Caenorhabditis elegans: one gene and its partner. The protein of the gene in region 1 purifies or fractionates together with the protein of each later gene. This does not show direct contact. Each region holds a gene or a part of one and is shown in the gene's direction. Other genes may lie near its edges. The genes, in order: ppm-2 and pph-4.1.

The links.
Region 2: the proteins of ppm-2 (region 1) and pph-4.1 fractionate together in Caenorhabditis elegans (co-fractionation; one large-scale study listed by BioGRID). This does not show direct contact.

The regions. Positions count from the first base shown.
Region 1 is NC_003281.10:4,647,100-4,656,606, forward strand, and holds ppm-2 (putative protein phosphatase 2C T23F11.1), read left to right. Parts: upstream 1-3,394; 5' UTR 3,395-3,398; coding exon 3,399-3,501; intron 3,502-3,823; coding exon 3,824-4,114; intron 4,115-4,665; coding exon 4,666-4,890; intron 4,891-4,938; coding exon 4,939-5,084; intron 5,085-5,134; coding exon 5,135-5,209; intron 5,210-5,587; coding exon 5,588-5,671; intron 5,672-5,884; coding exon 5,885-5,954; intron 5,955-6,008; coding exon 6,009-6,085; 3' UTR 6,086-6,787; downstream 6,788-9,507. Other genes in the region: dbd-10 (DB domain-containing protein), read right to left, coding at 1-136, 365-520, 663-737; T23F11.2 (Major sperm protein), read right to left, coding at 7,257-7,537, 7,587-8,059, 8,296-8,303.
Region 2 is NC_003281.10:12,343,026-12,354,653, reverse strand, and holds pph-4.1 (Serine/threonine-protein phosphatase 4 catalytic subunit 1), read left to right. Parts: upstream 1-3,317; 5' UTR 3,318-3,323; coding exon 3,324-3,424; intron 3,425-3,479; coding exon 3,480-3,603; intron 3,604-3,661; coding exon 3,662-3,787; intron 3,788-3,862; coding exon 3,863-4,141; intron 4,142-6,032; coding exon 6,033-6,274; intron 6,275-8,959; coding exon 8,960-9,089; 3' UTR 9,090-9,331; downstream 9,332-11,628. Other genes in the region: FAM172 family protein homolog Y75B8A.31, read right to left, coding at 76-210, 857-985, 2,325-2,444, 2,498-2,761, 2,830-3,006; zip-1 (BZIP domain-containing protein), read right to left, coding at 9,659-9,946, 10,962-11,285. UniProt on the Caenorhabditis elegans protein: Protein phosphatase which plays an essential role in meiosis and in early embryonic mitosis.

The DNA.
Region 1 (9,507 bases):
GACATCTTCTGGGCTCCGCGAGCAGTCGAAAGATGGAAGATTCATTATAAGTCTCAAATGAGCAGAATCCCATGCATCTCTCCGGAAGTAAATTATCCACACAACATTGTTCCATTTTTAACGAGTACTCGGATTCCTGAATTTTGAAGTGGGATTATTTAATTTTCATGAGATTTTTTTTTGAATATTTTTGAAGAAAAAATCTTGAAGAAGTTGGATTTTTTGAAATTATTCAAAAGCAGATTATTGCCAAAGTTAAACAATAGAGAAACAACAAAACTCCGTAAATTCCGAAAAATATTTTAAATACATATTTCAAAACAGAATTTTCTCATAGTTTCAATAAAACTAGAAAAGAACCTACCTCTTCATTCACATATTTAGTTTTACTTGCCAATGCTCTTCCACCAACACATCTATTCAATCGGCAGATATATCCATTTTGGCAGCTGTTTCTTGTTAGGCATTCTCTATGAATTACTGGTGGTGGAAGATTCAAACTATCAAGACTTGGAGGACACTGAACAAATAAGACTTTTTTAATTTAGTGAACTTTTATAGGAGTCGCGTTGATAAATGAGAAAAAATTCAAAAATATTTTAAAAAATTCAAAACAATTCTATCCCGCTTCATACAGAATATCTTTAAAAAAGAAAACTTACAGCATAGCTTAACGTGATCAAAAGAATAAAACGAGAATAAATCGAAAGAACTAAAGTATTACCAGACACTTTCATTTTAGAATCCAAAACTGTGAAGAATATAATTTATACGAAAGACATGAGAAATCCTGAACAAATAACTGCTAAAGAATAATAAAAAGAAGCGGGACACAAACAAAGAATTATGAAAATAAGAATGGTTATTGTTATATGAATCACTAAATATTTGGGAAAAATCGAAAGTTTTGGAAATCGAGAGTTACGAAATTGCTCGTCATAACCGGAAATGAGACGTCAATTATGTTCATGTGAGGACTGATAACATCAACTCTCACAATGAGACATCCTTTCTGTTGCATTTCTGGAACTTTGTTAAAGAATGATGTTGTAAATGTTTTCTAAAATTGTCATTTTTTACAGTTATTTCAAAACATGATCCACGCTTTGATGGTTATTTATATTGCTTGTGTCTCTATTTGCAAATTGCTAAAATATTTTTTTTGAAAATTTAGATATGTGATTTTATAATTGAAGTTTAAAGGAGGAATAACGCTAGTGCAAAATGCCAAAATACTACAAAATAAAAACAAAACAACTGTATCTAGTTTGATGGAAATTGCTAATTTTGGCACATTTTCAATTGTGATAGATGTTCTCGTTTGAATAATGTTATATATTCGAGGCCGAACAAGGAGGCGAAGACGAGTAGTTTATTATTACATAACTAAGGAATGAATAGAAAGTTAGTATACATAGATAATGAGTTCACGTTACACGATCTTCATATCCACGTTGAGGGTTAGGTACACGTAGATACCCAACAAATTACATTTTTCAAAATTTCGTCTAGTCTCCAATTTTCAAAAAAAAAGGTATCATTTCTGTGTAAACATTTATTTCATGTCTTAAATTCAACAAAAATAATTTTCACTTGAAAATTTGAGCCAAAATGGAGAAACTTCAAGTGCGGCACCAAAAAAATGGGCGAGGGTAAATATTAATGATAACTGTGAATTGACCAAAATTGGAGATTTTTCTAACCTCTGATAATATTTTGCTCTGTCATCTCATTTGGGAGGTTTATCATGAAGTCCCAATTGACCGTATTCCACCTTTAAACTAAGCTTGCTCAGTTTTCAAATTTTCTTTCATCCAGAAACCTGATGTGCGTCATTAGTAGCATGTTTGGCAACCGTAATTTCCAAACCACTATTCTTGATAATAATTTGAATGTAAGAAACCATCATCACACAGATTGCAGTGACATTTATTACACAATCTGTGCGATAGTTTGAAAATTGGTCTTTATAGGTTTTGTGTCTCAGATACATCGTTCCTATCTCAATGTTTCATATATCGCTTTGTTCCTTAAGTACATTTATTTCTAAATTGTTGAACATTTTACATGATAAATTCCATAAAGCAACATAAAACAATCACGTCATTTCTAGATTTTTATTGACAAGTACACTGGAACTAGCATATATTATTGAAAATACTTGTTGTTGCTATTTTAAAATTTTGAATTTCAACAATTTTAACAACAACGATACCTTTGTAGTCTTCTGATCACTCTCCCCCAATGATAACCTGGTCAACGTGATAAACTGCCTTGATTTTTCATACGTCGATTAGAGCGCAACTGCATCGGGTTGTTCCCGCACATGAGGGGGTTTCCCCGCACAGCGCCATGTGATTTTCCGTGGTCACAGAAGAAACGGAATGTCTGTGCCTCTCACCTTCACACACTCTCACTACCTATTGATTTTCGCCTGGCAGCCTAGTGTCCGTTTGTCGGTCTTTTCTCTCGTCACTTTTTGTGTCTCGGTATCAATGTTTGTTTCGATGCGACGCGGGGACGTCCAACGACGCAACGAAGAAGAACCGAAACTTGGTGTCACATTTTTATTTCCCGGCCGACCGCCGTTTTTTTCCTGCTAGCACGTGGTCTTGAGACGAAAACTTTTATCGGTTAGAATACAATAAAATCACTGTGCTTGTCTTGCCGTTTTATTTTTTCAACTTTTCTTTATTTGCTGTGAGGGTTAATAGTCGCGGCGGCGGCGGCGGCGGGCATTTTGGATACAACATTTTTGAAAATTGGGAATCATTTTTGAAATTATCGAAATTTAAATTTGGGAACATCATGTAGTTGTTTCGCAATTTTTCTTCGGAAATAAACTTCCCAAAAGAAAATATGAGCAAGTGATTTAGAAAACCAGGCCTGATACTTTAAATAAACTCCTTGTAGATCTTTCGTCGTGAGACCCACTCGCTAACCACGTTGCGCCTTTAGTACAGTACTACTATTCTTTTTCAATTTTTATTCAAAATTATGCAAATTTCATCATCGATTTTGAACTTTGCTCCGTTAAATTTGTGATAATACAATTTTTCGAACAATTCAAAAAATTTATCAGTAACTTCTTTTTTGTTGGAAAATAGACTATCGAAAAATTCCATAATTTTCTTCTGTCTCTCGGAAACGCTTTCCATTTTATCTTTTGATCACGTGACACACGTTCTATCAGTCTTTCCTTATTGAAGAACAGGTAGCATTGAAATTGTGATAACCTTACGCCCCCTTCGATCATTTTTCGTTCAAATATTTTCGCATTTTTTTCGTCTTTTCATCTCTTTCCCATTTTTCTATCGTTCAAACATCATAATTTTCCCGCTGAAAGTACTGTTTAGTGCACTTAGACTGAAATAAAATAAAAATCAATTTTCAGAAGTATGGGACAAACACTCAGTGAGCCAGTTACTAAAAAAGAGTCGGCGTCATGCGCCAATGAGAATTATTTGGTCGGTAGCAGTTGTATGCAGGGATGGAGAGTTGGTAAGAAAGTTATCAGAGCAAAAATGTGATAAAATAAATTAGGATATTTAGGAATTTAGGATATTGTTAAGCGTTTACTTCCATTTTAAACGTTTGTAATCAAGAAATAACATAGCGAAATTAATTTGTTTTAATGTTTAGTCTAAATTAAAAAAAAAAATCAGCGAATATTAGTCCCTTTCTCTTCAGACAGAACTCCTTAGCTCATTTTCATCATTTTCATCATTTTTAGGTACTTAGCGACTTGAAAATCCATTAGCTTCACTATCTTCAAAAATGATAATTAGTTCAATAAATTGTTCTAAATGTTCTTTTTTTTCAGACATGGAAGATGCCCATACACATCTCCTTTCTCTTCCTGATGATCCAAAATGTGCATTCTTTGCTGTCTACGATGGACACGGTGGATCGAAAGTTTCACAATATTCCGGAATTAATCTTCACAAAAAAGTCGTCGCACAGAAGGAATTTTCCGAGGGAAATATGAAAGAAGCAATCGAAAAAGGATTCCTAGAATTGGATCAACAGATGAGAGTTGATGAAGAGACAAAGGATGATGTTAGTGGAACGACAGCAGTTGTTGTATTGATAAAGGAGGGAGATGTTTATTGTGGTAAGAGACACGGATTTGCACTTTGACCTTGAAACGTCAATGGAAGGAAATTGAGGAAATGTTAAAGACACTGAGTATTTTTCAAAAAAATCACAATACTAAGACTAACAGTTTTCAGTAAAAATCGATAAAAAATTAACTTCCAAGCTTCGAATTTTGCAGTATTAGAATTCATATTGTTCGAAATTTTATTAGATTTTGAACTTTCACGGTATTACAAAAGTTATCTTTAAAAAAGGAGAAAAATTATTGGTACAGAAAATAAAAACACATTTCCATATTTTTTCAAAAATTTTAATTTTTGATTACGCACACATTTGTGATAACTGTGTATCATAAAGTTGTAAAAATCGTACGCTGATTTTTTAATACTTCTGAGTGGGTCCCACCACGATCTCAGCCACAGTAATCCCTACAAGCTTCAAACTTCACAGATTTGTTTATGTGACATAGAAAAAAACGTTGAAATTAAATATTTATTTAAACTGTATAGGGAAGACCAGGATTTAATATTTTTAAATGTCAATTTTTAATTTTTCTCCATTTTTCAGGAAACGCCGGTGACTCTCGTGCAGTATCCTCAGTTGTTGGAGAAGCTCGTCCACTTTCATTCGATCACAAGCCATCTCATGAAACCGAAGCTCGACGTATCATTGCCGCCGGTGGATGGGTTGAGTTCAATCGTGTCAATGGTAATTTGGCACTTTCCCGTGCTCTCGGAGATTTTGCATTCAAAAATTGTGACACAAAGCCTGCTGAGGAGCAAATTGTCACTGGTGAGAATAATTTGAAATTAAAAATTAAAAAAAGTTCTTTAATTTCAGCATTCCCGGATGTGATCACTGACAAGCTGACACCGGATCACGAGTTTATTGTTCTTGCATGTGATGGTATTTGGGATGTAATGACAAATCAGGAAGTCGTAGATTTTGTTCGTGAGAAGCTTGCTGAGAAGAGGGATCCACAATCGGTAAGTTGATTAAAATAAAGTAAATATCTCGTATTCTCTCTCATTTTCAGATTTGCGAAGAGCTTCTCACTCGGTGCTTGGCTCCAGATTGTCAGATGGGTGGTCTCGGATGCGATAATATGACTGTAAGTTTGATTTTTTCAAAAATAAATTTTTAAACACTTTATCAGCTTTATTTTATGTTTTGAAATATAAATATACAGTAAATTCAAACTTCGAAATTTTCATAAGTTTTCGTTAAAACTTTTAATGAGAAACTAAACTGGAACAAAAAAATTTGAAACACTTAAATTTTAACAAATTGTAAGATAATCAATAAAAATCTTTGAAGATTCCAAATCAGCCAAATTTAAAAAAAAACTACAGTAATTTGCAAGATCTTTAGACTATGGTAGTTGAAATCGTGGTGAGACCTACTAAGAAAAACGGCATGTGACTTTAAATTAAAATGTTGAATTTTAACGAAATATACACATTTAAAAAATTTAATATTTATTTTTCAGGTTGTTCTCGTGGGACTTCTTCATGGACAATCCCCAGATACACTTTTCACGAAATGTGCCCGCCCAGCGGTATTTACGGGTGTTGTGAGTTTTTTTTTGAAAATTATTTCTGCTTCTTCCTCTTTTTTTCATTTTTTCAGTAGTTAGTATCACATAAATTTATAGAATTAAACTAGTTTCTCAAAAAGAACACCTTTTTAGAATAGTTGTGCTTCTTCTTCTAAATACTAACCAAATGAATGAATATCTGTGTAAATCAGAAATTCGACGAACAAAACGATGTGTTTCTTTTTGAAGAATAACGAGGATGGAGATCAAAATCAAATTCAGCAAGATATTTCGCGTGTGATAAACAACTTTGATGGAGGTTTTAGTTGAAAAAGCTTCGCGAATTCTCAAAAATTAAATATTCAAATTTCAGAACAACGGGTAAACGCTGCGAATCAAGAAGAAGAGGAGGATGACAATGAACCAGCGCCAGCCAACTTCCAAGTTTAGAAAATTCGCAAAATTTCGGAGTAATATTTGGTGTGTAAATATCGAATATTAAATAACACGATTTCCCCCTGTGATAGTGCTGAATTTACTTTTTTATCTTGCATTGCTTTTGGTTTTTTATATTGCTCAATTATCATGTTTCACAAAAAATTTTCTTCACAAAACAAAAACCACCCAAAATTTAATATTCCTTATAGAGCACGTTAACAATATAATTTTTCTTGCTTTTTATAGCATTTTACTTTCTTTGTTCTTCCCCCATTCTTCATTCACAGATTTTCCGGTTGAAATACCTTTCGAATAATTTCAAAAAAATTTAAATGCCAAAATCTCTCTAGAATTGTAATGAATTGATTGCAGTGAGTTATCTGGAAAAAATTCAGGAATTTCACTACATGAAAAGTTGTCCTCTATTGTTCATCCCGCCAACTTTTGCATATCCCTTTTTCAAATTTTATTTTTTGTCTTATTCCTACTCTCCCATTTTTAATATGATTTTTTATCAGCCGTCCACTTTCCATGACGCGTCTTTGTTTCCCAAGCATTGAAAGTGTGAGATGACTCGTTTTATACTGAAATACTCGAAATATTAGTGCTTCAATGTGTATTAGACAATTGTATTTTCTTCTTTTTGTCTCTTTTCACATTTTTTTGTTCTTCCCATTGATTTTATGATTATGATTAAAAAAATTTATGATTGAATGTTATTCAATTTTTCCTACAAAATAAAAAAGGCAATAACTTTCGACGGTGCAATTGGAAGAAACATGGAAGATCTGAAAATAGGTTATTTTGTGTGATTGCAAAACATTGTAAGACAATGTATGGAAATTTTCGTAAAAATGAAGATCTGGGAGCTACAGTATTATTTTAAAGGCGCACACCTTTCTGTAGGCGCTTCGAAAATTGTTAAGTTACATTCACCGTACCACTGAACTTACCAAACACCGTGTGACTTCATTTAGTTTTTCAAGACAGTTATCAGAAGCCTCATTCCTCCTTGAAATTCCAAGAAAGGCGACGTAATGATCTCCAAAAATGGAAGAGGCATAATTGTCTCTTTAACATTACATGTTTCAGCTTATAGTTAGTGCAAGCTACTGAAAATATTCAAGAAACCCGACCAAGTCAATTTCATTAAATCATACAAAAGTGCCATTCACAGTTCAATCTAAGCTTGAATAGTTGATCCACCACACGGAGTTGCTTCAAGGCACACATTGACATCACTTTTGTTCTTTTTATTAGCCTGAATACGGCAAGCCTTTGAGCTCTTTGCAGAATGATTCGACGAACGGCTTGATCTACGAGAAGATCTCATTGACTGCTTCTCCGGTTGCTTTTCAGTTCCACAGATGTAGTTGGAAAACCAGCATCCTTTGTTCAATTGACGACGTTTGTACTCCTCAACAAATCCCATCATTGAACCAATTGGAACAGCAGTGGAGACATCTGAAATCGAAAGATTTTAATTAGTTTGAACCAAAGCATCAATCTGTACCTCTTTCGATGTTGACTGCAGTTGTAGTGTCCAATTCTTCCACGTCAACCGGATAATCAGTCGACTCGATACACGTGGCATATCCTGGCAAGTTGATGACTGTCTGGGGAGCCGAGAACTGATCCGTGAACTTGACAGACAATGAGAATGCCTCTTGCTCCTTAGTTCCTGCAGTTTTCTTCTGATCAATGAACTGCTTGAGGCTCTTCGCATAGATCGGCAACACGTATCCTTTGATCAAAAGATTCATCTTGTCCCATTGGGAGAGCTTTGATGAGTTCACACGGAACTGGATGGCACGATGAGCCAATGGTGGAAAACGGAAAACTTCCGTTGGGAAGGTGACGGCTTCATTCGTAGCATGCAACTTCAGCAGGAAGTCCTTGCCAGTGGTGTTGCGGAACACAAAGTTCCGTTGAACGATCTCGCGGCCAGTGGAGATGTGCAATTCCGTTGGGTTTGACTTCTTTTGACTGAAATTTTGAAATTTTAGAATTTATAGTTCATTTGCAATGAGCACAGAATGCATCAGTGGGCACAATAAACCCGAACCATCGAAGACAGGGCACAATGCCTAAATTACGAAAACGATAATTCGTAAGGGGCACATTCTGCCTGATTTCGTTGGCGTGCCTCCATAATGTCAATTCTATGAGGTTCTTGATGAACACATCAGGAATTAACTGCGTTGGTAAAAATCTTAACTCACCAGGGCATCTTATTAGTTGATGAGCAGAAGAACGGGCGGTCCGAGTTGCTTTTCAAGTTTCGAAAATCGAGAATAATTGATTTGCATATTGATTGATTGTCTGATAACAAATCGACGACATTGACCTTTGTTAGTGTTTTAAAAGTTAGTTTTTTTTAACGTGAAATTTTTTTTCTGTTTTATGGAGAAGTTGTTTATTTTTTGTATTACACGGATTTTTGCACCAGAAATACGGTACTCGGCCTCGACACGAAAAATTTTTTTGACATGCGTCCATATAATACAATTTCTCTGAACTGCCGTTCATTGTTTTTAGGTCAACTTGTATAATGTTGGCATACCAACTCAATACACCATATTCCACGAGCAAATTTAGTTTGCGTTGGCGTCGTCATTACTATTCCGAAAGAAAGAAAGAGTTTGACTCTTCGTCCAGTCCAATTGTTTCAGGGAATTGTAAAGTGCAACTAATTAGGGGTACTTTGCATTTTGCTCCAGCAACACGAAACATGTTCTACACGTGCAGAACACCCTATGACGCATACATAAAACACATTACAATCTGCAGACGTTTTTTCAAGTTTTGAGCTTTTTCTCTCTATATAAATACTCTATACATTATTCTCGTAAGCATATTTTTGTGCAGATTGGAATGAAAACTTCATTTAATTCAATTAAAAGCTCAACATATAATTATCGCCAAGTGTCGAAACGTTGTTTTCTTTGTCTCTAAACTATAGTAGCCAGTCTCGACACGACAAATTTTGGTTAAGTTACAAAGATCAAAGAACCATTTTTACCAGAACGGTGTTTTTTAAATAAAACATATTTCCACAACTAATTTTCAAATTTCGATTCAAAATTCGCCGAATCCTTCTCCAAACTGAACAAAACAAACCAAGTTTTGAAATGTTCCAGATTTTCAGAATTTCCATACCAAAACACTCATGTTTGTCTGAAAAAATGAAACGAGGAATCATCCGAATAAACGTCACCATTCCCAAGTGTCGCCGAAAAAAAACTTTTCGTTTTTTTTTTTTGTCCGTCCATCCATCTAGGACCTATTGATTCTCGTTTTTTTCTCGAGGAGCTCGGGAGCACAGCAATGCTATAGTTGCTCGCCCCCACTCACTCCCCTCTCTCTCCGCACTTGCTCTAAAAAGGAGAACCACACACGGGGGAGAGTCAGGCGGCTTGAATCGATTTGAAGTC
Region 2 (11,628 bases), 7.7 Mb from region 1:
ATTTTTGGCCAAAAAATTCGAACTTGTCCTCGTGTAGTACAAAATTCCGTGCCACAGGATTGCATAATAACGCACTTCAGTCTCCAAAATATGAAAAACTGCATCAATTGCACAATGACTGGACCACTCGTGTATCTGTGTGCCGGCCCACAGCTCGGCGACGTTCCCCTCACGATATTCACGAACTTTGTATGATGGAGAGTTCAAAGCCTGGAAAATTAAATTTTATTATTATTAGAATTGTTACCGTATTTCCTCTATTAGTCTTGCAGCCTCTATTAGTCTTGCACCCCTATTAGTCTTGCACCCCTACGGACCAATCGAAAATTAGTCTTGCAGCCTCTATTAGTATTGCATGCAAGACTAATAGAGGAAATACGGTAATAGTCTTGCACCCCTATTCTTGCCAGACCAGCAGTATTTTGTCAAAACTTCAACAATTTTGCCAGTTTTTAGCTAAATTAAATTTTAAAGTGTTCAAATAATAGATAAAATAATATAAATATATATATATATTGTACGATTTTGACTGTTTCATGTCTAATTTTTGACGATGAATGGTAAATTTTACAAAGCTATTGGATCTTCGAAAATTAGTCTTGCAGCCTCTAATAGTCTTGCACCCCTACGGGTCAATTGAAAATTAGTCTTGCATGCAAGACTAATAGAGGAAATACGGTATATTATTGAAACGTGAAAACGCGCTCCACGGATAATAAGAAACGCTCCACCCACGAACCATGGGTCTCGTTAGGTTTTTGGTCGAAAAACCGGTCTGAATTCCCGATTTTTCCGCCAAATTCTTAACGAGACTTCAATTGCCCGTGGAGCGCGTTTTCTGCGTCCTTATAACTACCCCGTGAGCCAAGAAATTGACGACAAACAATGGACGTGCCCGTTGTGCACAACTTTTCGGAAATTCGAACCATGGAGAATCAGTGAGACAGATTTTCGAAATACGATCGTCTCCGCCAAACTTTTTGAGCTGAAATTTAATGAAATTATATGATTTTGGCGGGTCTCGACGCGACAAATTTTTGTTAAATAGAAAAATGTGTGCGCCTTTAAAGAGTACTGTAATTTAATTTTTCACACGATTTTTTTTCGAATAAAAATGCATTTTTAACTATTTTCCGCTGTTTTTAAATTTGAAAACAGATTTCAGGACTTTTTTCGGCAAAAAAAAAGCGAAAAAACGGGGTTTTTAAGGCAAAATTCCATGTTTTCCTCAATTTTGGGTCTCGAAGCGACAAATTTTTGTTGAATACAAAAAAGTGTGCGCCTTTAAAGAGTACTGTAGTTTTAAATTTTAGTTTCTGTGAAATTTATCGATTTTTCGTAGTTTTTCTAAATAAAAATATTTTTTAATCGAAAAAATTTAAAAAAAATCGCGAAAACTAAATTAAAAAAATTTTTTTCGATTTTTTTTCAAAAGATTAAAAAATATTTTTATTTAGAAAAACTACGAAAACTCGATAAATTTCACAGAAACAAAAATTAGAAATTACAGTAATCTTTAAAGGCGCATACCTTTTTTTCTTATTCCTTGAACACAATTTTGTCGTGGCGAGACCTGAAACAGGGGTTTTTGCCTTAAAAAATCGCGAAAATGTCGATTTTTCGCCAAAAAAAGCTGAAAATAGTTTAAAATCCCATTTTTATTCAAAAAATTCAGAAAAACAGGGATTTTCGCCTTAAAAATCCGGAAATATGTCGTTTTTTCGCTTTTTTTGCCAAAAAAAAAGCTGAAAATATATTAAAATTGCATTTTCCTTTAAAAAAATCAGAAAAACAGGGATTTTTGCCTTAAAAAATCGGAGAAAAGTCGTTTTTTCGCTCTTTTTTAGCCAAAAAAAAGCTGAAAACAGTTTAAATCCCATTTTTATTCAAAAATTCAAAAAAACAGGGTTTTTTTGCCTTAAAAAATCAAAAAAAAAGTCGATTTTTTCACTCTTTTTTGCCAAAAAAAAAGTGCTGAAAACAGTTTAAAATCGCATTTTTATCCAAAAACTCAGAAAAACAGGGTTTTATGGCTTAAAAATTCGGAAAAAGTCAATTTTTTCGTTCATTTTTAGCCAAAAAAAAGCTGAAAACAGTTTAAAATCGCATTTTTATTCAAAAATTCAGAAAAACAGGGATTTTCGCCTTAAAAATCCGGAAATATGTCGTTTTTTCGCTCTTTTTTGCCAAAAAAAAAGCTGAAAATAGATTAAAATTGCATTTTCCTTTAAAAAATTCAGAAAAACAGGGATTTTCGCCTTGAAAAATCGGAAAAACATCGATTTTTTCGCTTTTTTTTGCCAAAAAAGTGCTGAAAATCCCACCACACTGGCTGTGTCGTAACCACCACGACTGTGAGCCACCACGTAGATGCTCTTAGCATTCGATGGCTCAATACACGCTATCCAGACAGTTTCAGCGTGCTCGACAGGTGTGCGGGAGTACTGAAAATCGATTTTTCAGCGAATTTTTCGAAATTTCCCGGGTTTTTTCACACCTTCAAATCCTGATCTTTACTTTCATTCAAATTAGTGTTCATCACCACAACACCCCATCCATTTTCAATAGCTCTTTCGATATACGGAATCTGAGTTCCACACTCCAAATTATCATTGATAATGAGTCTACGAGCCCATTGTCCGGCTCTGACGACACCGCTTCCGTGGATCAATACTAGAAGATTTGCAGCTTTTTTGAAATTTTTCGACACAAAAATGAAGCTTAGATCCTCATCCTCGTCGGTTTTTCCTGGAAGTTTTAGCTGAAAAAAAATTTTTTTTTTTGATTTTTAAATTTTTTTTTCCATTTTTTAAAAATTTCTTAATTTACCGCCTTTCTCTTCAGCCCACAACGTGTCTCCAGAAGCTCATAAACTTCCAGATCAACTGCTTCTCCCAGTTCTTCATAATCCTCCTGTGTAGTGAATTTGAAGGGTTTTTTGTCCTTCTCCGTTTTCAGCACGCCTTTTTCGTCGAAAAAGTACCCGAGTTTCGCCAAACTTGACATTGTTCACTGAAATTTATTTGAATTATTCGCAAAAAAACTGGTTAGAACAGAGAAAATTTCCGAAAAAACAATTTTTAAAATTAAAAAAAAAAAAAAATTTCCTGGCCGCGACCGAGGTTTCTCTCGTCCACACGGCGCAATCGCGCTCTGTTGGCAATCTGGCACAATGCCAATATTACACTGAATTTATATTTTTGCACGAAAAACTCTGGATTTAAAGTCGATTTCGCCTGTTTTCATTGGTTTTTTTCGTTTTTTCGTTTTTAAATTAAATATTAATTCAAAAAATCGATTTACAACGTATTTTACAGCTTTTAATGGCTCTGGCGTGCACCGACTCTGCAAATTCCACATTTTCACGTGTCGACTCACCGACTTCCGGCCCATCGGACCAGCTAACAACTCATGACTTGGATCGGTAGCAGTTTTGATATAAAAACAATAAAATATCAACAAAAAAAAAATATTTTCAGCCACATAGAAAAGCTGATGAGATGTGAGCTCATCGCGGAGCAAGATGTCAAAACACTTTGCGCAAAAGCTCGTGAAATCCTAGCGGAAGAGGGCAACGTCCAGGTTATCGATTCTCCGGTGACGGTTGGTTGGATAAAATCGATTTTTAAATCAAAATTTCCATTTTAAATTCTATTTCCAGATCTGCGGAGACATCCACGGCCAGTTCTACGATTTAATGGAGCTCTTCAAAGTCGGCGGACCAGTGCCGAACACCAACTATTTGTTCCTCGGAGATTTCGTGGATCGAGGCTTCTATTCTGTGGAGGTGCCCCCGCTTTTTTGCAATTTTCCTGGCGAAAAAATTGCAAAAAAAACTCCCAAAAAATCGATATTTTTCCAGACATTCCTTCTACTTCTCGCACTGAAAGCTCGCTATCCGGATCGAATGATGTTGATCCGTGGAAATCACGAAAGTCGCCAGATTACTCAAGTCTACGGGTTCTATGATGAATGCCTTCGGAAATATGGAAATGCGTCTGTTTGGAAACATTGTACCGAAGTTTTCGACTACTTATCACTTGCCGCTGTAATTGATGGGAAGGTTTTCTGTGTTCATGGTGGATTATCCCCGTCGATTAGTACTATGGATCAGATTCGTGTTATTGATCGGAAGCAGGAGGTAAAACGCAAAAAATATGCTGTTTTTAATGGAATTTTGCTTTGAATTTCGGTTAAAATTCGGTGAATTACAATTTTTTAAATTTCCGGCATTTTGCCGAATTTGCCGGAAAGTTTTAAAATTTTCGAAAATGAAAATAACCGACAAATCTGCAAATTGCCGGAATTTAAAAATTTCCGGCAAATCAGCAAACCGGCAAATTTGCCCAAAATGAAAATAACCGGCAAATCGACAAATTGCCGGAATTAAAAATTTCTGGCAAATCGACAAACTGCCGTAATGAAACTTTCTGGCAAATCGACAAATTGCCGAAAATGAAAATAACCGGCAAATCGACAAATTGCCGGAATTAAAATTTTCTGGCAAATCGGCAAATGTTCGAATTAAAAAATTTGTGGCAAATTGGCGAAATTGAAAATTTCCGGCAAATCGAAAAATTGCCGGAATTAAAAAATTCCGGCAAATCGGCAAATTGCCGTAATTAAAAATTTCTGGCAAATCGGAAAATTGCCATGTTTAAAAATTTTCGGCAAATCGGAAAATTGCCGAAATTGAAAATTTCCGGCAATTCGTCAAATTGCCGGAATTTAAAAATTTCCGGCAAGTCGGAAATTTGCCGAATTCGCCGGAAAAACGGCAAATTGCCGGAATTAAAAATTTCCGGCAAATCGGCAAATTGCTGGAATTGATAATTTCCGGCAAATCGGCAAATTGCTGGAATTGATAATTTCCGGCAAATCGGCAAATTGCCGGAATTTAAAAATTTCCGGCAAGTCGGAAATTTGCCGAATTCGCCGGAAAAACGGCAAATTGCCGGAATTAAAAATTTCCGGCAAATCGACAAACTGCCGAAAATGAAAATTTCTGGCAAATCGGCAAATTGCTGGAATTGATAATTTCCGGCAAATTTCCGGAATTAAGATTTTCTGGCAAATCGGCAATTTGTCGATCATGAAAATAACCGTCAAATCGACAAATTTCCGGAATTAAAATTTTCTGGCAAATCGGCAAATTGCCGAAAATGAAAATAACCAGAAAATCGGCAAATTTCCGAAAATTTCCGTTTAAAAAAAAATTTCCGTTTTTTTCATTAAAAATTTTTTTTTTTAATTTTCAGACTTTTTTCTAATTTTTTCTCATCAAAATCGACCAATTTAATTTTTATTTCATTTATTTCGATTTTTTCCCCGAAAAATACTAAAAAATTCAAAAAATAGTCTCAAAATCAGAAAAAAACCACAAAAACGCGATTTTTGTCTTCAACCAATCAGCGATTCGCTCCGCCCACTTTTCAACCAATCAGATGGAGTGGGCGGAGTTTGAGTTCTCATTTTGGAGGGAATTCAAAATTGAAAAATCTTTTTATTTTTCTGAATTTGATACTATTTCGGATATTTTGAAGCGAAATTTCAAAATTTACGTTAAATTTTTCGAGAAATCACTTTTTTCCAGCGGGGCGAAGGTTTTGCAAGTCTGCGGTTTGCTATATTTCGATTTACGGAGAATTTTGTAATACACACGGACAAGCGTCGATTAATTTTTTAATTTTTTCTAATAGTAAATTTACAGTTTTGGGCCATTTTTGCCAATTTTTTTTGGTGTTCAACATTAAAAATTGGGTCCATATATATATATTTTTTGAATAGTGTTTACAAAAAAAATTACAGAACTGAAGAACAATTCGAAAAAAAAAAAAAAACGCTTATCCACGTGTAGCACAAACTCCACCGTAAATCGACAGAAATCAAACCGCGCCGCAGGTTTGCAAAACCACCGTTCCGCCTCAAAAATTGAAAAAAAAATCAATTTTTTAATCAAATTTTGTTCGTTTTGATAGAAAAACGTATAAATTTGTGCTAAAAAAGCGAAAAAAAATTCTGAAAATTTCCAGGTTCCCCACGACGGTCCAATGTGTGATCTACTGTGGTCGGACCCCGAAGAAGGAAATGTTGGATGGGGCCTAAGTCCACGCGGAGCCGGTTATCTATTCGGAGCGGACGCGTCGAAAACGTTTTGCGAAACGAACGGAGTCGATTTGATCTGTAGAGCTCATCAATTGGTTATGGAAGGATATAAATGGCATTTCAACGAGAAAGTGCTCACTGTTTGGTCGGCGCCCAACTATTGTTATCGGTACGGGATGGATTTGGAAAAAAAACGGAAATTTTTTTTTCGTGAAAAAGACGAAAAATTAAAATTTTTGGTCACTTTTTTATCATTTAAAGTATAATTTTTAGGAAAAAATACAATTTTTTTCTGAAAATTTGAATTTTCCCGCTAAAATTTGTTTCCAAAAAATTTAAATTTTCCCGCCAAAATTTGATTCCAAAAAAATTCAAATTTTCCGGCCAAAATTTGTTTCCAAAAAATTTGAATTTTCCCGCCAAAATTTGTTTCCAAAAAATTTGAATTTTCCCGCCAAAATTTGTTTCCAAAAAATTTGAATTTTCCGGCCAAAATTTGTTTCCAAAAAATTTGAATTTTCCCGTCAAAATATGTTTTTAAAAGAAAATTTAAATTTTCCCGCCAAAATTTGTTTCCAGAAAATTTGAATTTTCCCGCCAAAATTTGTTTCCAAAAAATTTAAATTTTCCCGCCAAAATTTGTTTCCAAAAAATTTGAATTTTCCCGCCAAAATTTGTTTCCAAAAAATTTGAATTTTCCGGCCAAAATTTGTTTCCAAAAAATTTGAATTTTCCCGTCAAAATATGTTTTTAAAAGAAAATTTAAATTTTCCCGCCAAAATTTGTTTCCAGAAAATTTGAATTTTCCCGCCAAAATTTGTTTCCAGAAAATTTAAATTTTCCCGCCAAAATTTGTTTCCAGAAAATTTGAATTTTCCCGCCAAAATTTGATTCCAGAAAATTTGAATTTTCCCGCCAAAATTTGTTTCCAAAAAATTTGAATTTTCCCGCCAAAATTTGTTTCCAAAAAATTTGAATTTTCCCGCCAAAATTTGTTTCCAAAAAATTTGAATTTTCCCGCCAAAATTTGTTTCCAAAAAATTTGAATTTTCCCGCCAAAATTTGTTTCCAAAAAAATTTACACTTCCCGCCAAAATTTGTTTCCAAAAAATTTGAATTTTCCCGTCAAAATATGTTTTTAAAAGAAAATTTAAATTTTCCCGCCAAAATTTGTTTCCAGAAAATTTGAATTTTCCCGCCAAAATTTGTTTCCAAAAAATTTGAATTTTCCCGCCAAAATTTGTTTCCAAAAAATTTGAATTTTCCCGTCAAAATATGTTTTTAAAAGAAAATTTAAATTTTCCCGCCAAAATTTGTTTCCAAAAAATTCAAATTTTCCCGCCAAAATTTGTTTCCAAAAAATTTGAATTTTCCGGCCAAAATTTGTTTCCAAAAAATTTGAATTTTCCCGTCAAAATATGTTTTTAAAAGAAAATTTAAATTTTCCCGCCAAAATTTGTTTCCAGAAAATTTGAATTTTCCCGCCAAAATTTGTTTCCAAAAAATTTGAATTTTCCCGTCAAAATATGTTTTTAAAAGAAAATTTAAATTTTCCCGCCAAAATTTGTTTCCAAAAAATTTAAATTTTCCCGCCAAAATTTGTTTCCAGAAAATTTGAATTTTCCCGCCAAAATTTGTTTCCAAAAAATTTGAATTTTCCCGCCAAAATTTGTTTCCAAAAAATTTGAATTTTCCCGTCAAAATATGTTTTTAAAAGAAAATTTAAATTTTCCCGCCAAAATTTGTTTCCAGAAAATTTGAATTTTCCCGCCAAAATTTGATTCCAGAAAATTTGAATTTTCCCGCCAAAATTTGTTTCCAGAAAATTTGAATTTTCCCGCCAAAATTTGTTTCCAAAAAATTTGAATTTTCCCGCCAAAATTTGTTTCCAAAAAATTTGAATTTTCCCGTCAAAATATGTTTTTAAAAGAAAATTTAAATTTTCCCGCCAAAATTTGTTTCCAAAAAATTCAAATTTTCCGGCCAAAATTTGTTTCCAAAAAATTTGAATTTTCCCGCCAAAATTTGTTTCCAAAAAATTTGAATTTTCCGGCCAAAATTTGTTTCCAAAAAATTTGAATTTTCCCGTCAAAATATGTTTTTAAAAGAAAATTTAAATTTTCCCGCCAAAATTTGTTTCCAGAAAATTTGAATTTTCCCGCCAAAATTTGATTCCAGAAAATTTGAATTTTCCCGCCAAAATTTGTTTCCAAAAAATTTGAATTTTCCCGCCAAAATTTGTTTCCAAAAAATTTGAATTTTCCCGCCAAAATTTGTTTCCAAAAAATTTGAATTTTCCCGCCAAAATTTGTTTCCAAAAAAATTTAAACTTCCCGCCAAAATTTGTTTCCAAAAAATTTGAATTTTCCCGTCAAAATATGTTTTTAAAAGAAAATTTAAATTTTCCCGCCAAAATTTGTTTCCAGAAAATTTGAATTTTCCCGCCAAAATTTGATTCCAGAAAATTTGAATTTTCCCGCCAAAATTTGTTTCCAAAAAATTTGAATTTTCCCGCCAAACTTTGTTCCCAAAAAATTTGAATTTTCCCGCCAAAATTTGTTTCCAAAAAATTTAAATTTTCCCGCCAAAATTTGTTTCCAGAAAATTTAAAATTTTCCCGCCAAAATCACGTAGTGCCAGAGTGTCCCATTTCGGTTTGATCTACAAAAATGCGGGAGAAGTGACGCACTGATTTTGCATGATTAAGAACGTGTTGACGTCACATTTTTTGGACAAAAAAATCCCGCATTTTTTGTAGATCAAACCCAAAAATTTGTTTCAAAAGAAAAATTGAATTTCCCGGAAAACTTGAGCTTTTTTTGCAGTAAAAAAAAACTTAATGAAAATTTTCCAGATGCGGCAACGTGGCGGCAATTCTCGAGCTCGACGAGAATCTCAACAAGGAATTCACAATTTTCGAAGCTGCTCCACAAGAAAATCGCGGAGCACCGGCCAAAAAACCGCACGCCGACTATTTCCTCTAATTTTTTCTCGAAATTTTCTCGAAATTTCTTTCTCGCCCAAAAATTCCGAAGAATCTCCCCCTTTTATATCGCCGAAACACCATTTTTTTCCTTTTTTTTTTGCTCCCACAAAAATATTTCAATATTTAATTATTATTTTCCACACACACACACACATTTTTCTGTAAATGTCCACCCCCCTCCAAATTTTACGGATTTATTTTTTTTTCGACAAAAAAAAGTATTAAAATTTATTTCATGCTATTCATTTTTAAAACCGATTTGATTTGAAACAAAAAAAAACAATTAACCGTATTTGGGGAGTGAGAAATGGGAAAAAAATAAAACATGAAAATGGAATTTTTCACAGAAAAAATCGAAGTAAAATACAATTGATTGGATAAAATGGGAAAGCTGCGACCAATCAGGTGGAGTGGGCGGAGTGGGCGGAGTTCAAAGTCGCTGATTGGTCGGTGAGAAATTGAGAAAAAAATGGATTTTTGAAGCTTTAAATATAACATTTTGGATAAAAATAACTAGTTTTCAAAGATTTTTTAATTTTTTAATATTTTTTTCGCTCAAAAAATCCTTCAGCTTGGCTCAAATTGCTGGAAATTCTCATCAAAAGCCTGCTGCTCGGCAAGCTTGGCACCATCCATGTATCGGTTCAGTTCTCTTGTGATTTGATTGAGTACCACTTTAATCGCATTCGCCTCCCTCAGCTCAACCTCCTCCTTTTTGAGATTCAACTGATGGTCGGCGATCTCGAAAGCCGTCTTCGCACGGGATTTTTTCGAAGCAAACGTATTTTGAGGTAGTCCTGCGATTTTTTTGACACTCGTGTATTGTCCGTAGTCCTGTTCGGTTTTGTTGAAGGCCTGAAAATGTTGAGAATTGGGGAAAAAATTTGATTTTTCACAAAAAAAAAATTTTTTTAAAGTTTTTTTGCCAGTTTTTCTTATGTTTTTTATCACGGATTTCTGGTTTCCCTCCATAAATTGAAATGGAAGAGTTTTTGCCGAATTAGGCCAGGCCATATCTGGGGTAGATTTACGGCGCGCGTTGCGTGTCGCGTCGCGGCTCGATTGTAAAACTAAATGTATTTGTCCGTGTGGAGTACACGTTGTCCGGCGGGGGTGATTGTCAATGGAGCGCGAAAAAATCAATGAGGAAGGCCAGAAGCCCGTGAAAAAGAAAAAATTTAAAAAAAAACTATATTTGATAGTGTTTTTGGATTTTTTGTTTAGTTTAAATTTTTACTTTTTTTTTGTTGCTATTTTGCCAGTTTTTCTTATGTTTTTTATTATCAAAAATCGATAAAAATTGGATTGTTTTGTTTTTTTTACATTTTTTTCGATTTTTCAAAAAAAAAAAGCCTTAAAATTTTGGCAATTTTTCATATTTTTAGAAAAAAAAACTGATTTTTTTGTAAATTTTCAAACCATTGTTTTCCGATTTCATCTATCCCCACACGGGCCCTTTCTGGCCTTCCTCATTGGATTTTTTTTCGCGCTCCATTGATAATCGCCTGCCGGACTCCACACGGACAAATACATTTAGTTTTACAATCGAGCCACGACGCGACACGCAACGCGCCGTAAATCTACCCCAGATATGGCCTGGCCTAGTTCGGCAAAAAACTCTTTCATTTCAATTCATGAGGAAAGCCAGAAATCAGAAATCGTGAAAAATGAAAAATAAAAAATAAAGTATTTTTTAATTTTTTATTTTTTCAAAAATTGATAAAAATTGGATTTTTTAAGAAATTTTTTTTTCGATTTTTTTAGAAAAAAATTTATTTTTTTGTTCATTTTTTTCCAATTTTTTCCAATTTTATCAATTTCACAACCGCTCCGCGCGCCCGCGCGGTCATGGCCGTGGCCGATGTTTTACCTCTTCCAACTGCACCACTTCTCCATTATTGTCATATTGAACTTGCTCGACAGCCTCGGCTTTCGATCCTTGCAATTGATCGTAAAACAGCTCCAGGCTTCCATATGGGAAGTTATTCCCCTGTACTGCGAAAATATTAGTCTCGTAGGCCGCCAATAGGCCATTCTCTTGCATCTCATTCTGACGCTTGGCTTCTTGAACTTTTTCTCTGAGCATTTCCAGCGTCTGCTTGAGCTCTTCCTTGCTATTGTTGCGATTTTTTACGCAATTCTTGGCATTTGCACGATTTTGCTCTTTTTTGCGCTCCAGCTTCTCCTTTTCTGTCTGAAATTATTTAATTTATTACCATTATTAATTCCAAAAAAATTTGAAAATTCGTCGTTTCATCAATTTTCCAGCGTTATTATTTTCCGAGAAACAAAAGTTTTTTGAAAATTTGCAGAAAGTACCGTCGCCGCACAGAAAAAGAGGCGGAGCCTAATTTTGCAACCCTGCGGCACGGGTTTTTTTTGTTGATTTTTAAAATTTTTTCTGTTTAACATTTTAATTCGAAAAAGGGAATAAATCAGGCATAATCAAAAGTTTTTTAAGCGAAAAATCAACAAAAAACCGTGCCGCAGGCTTGCAAAATTAGGCTCCGCCTCTTTTTCTGTGCGACGATGTTCTT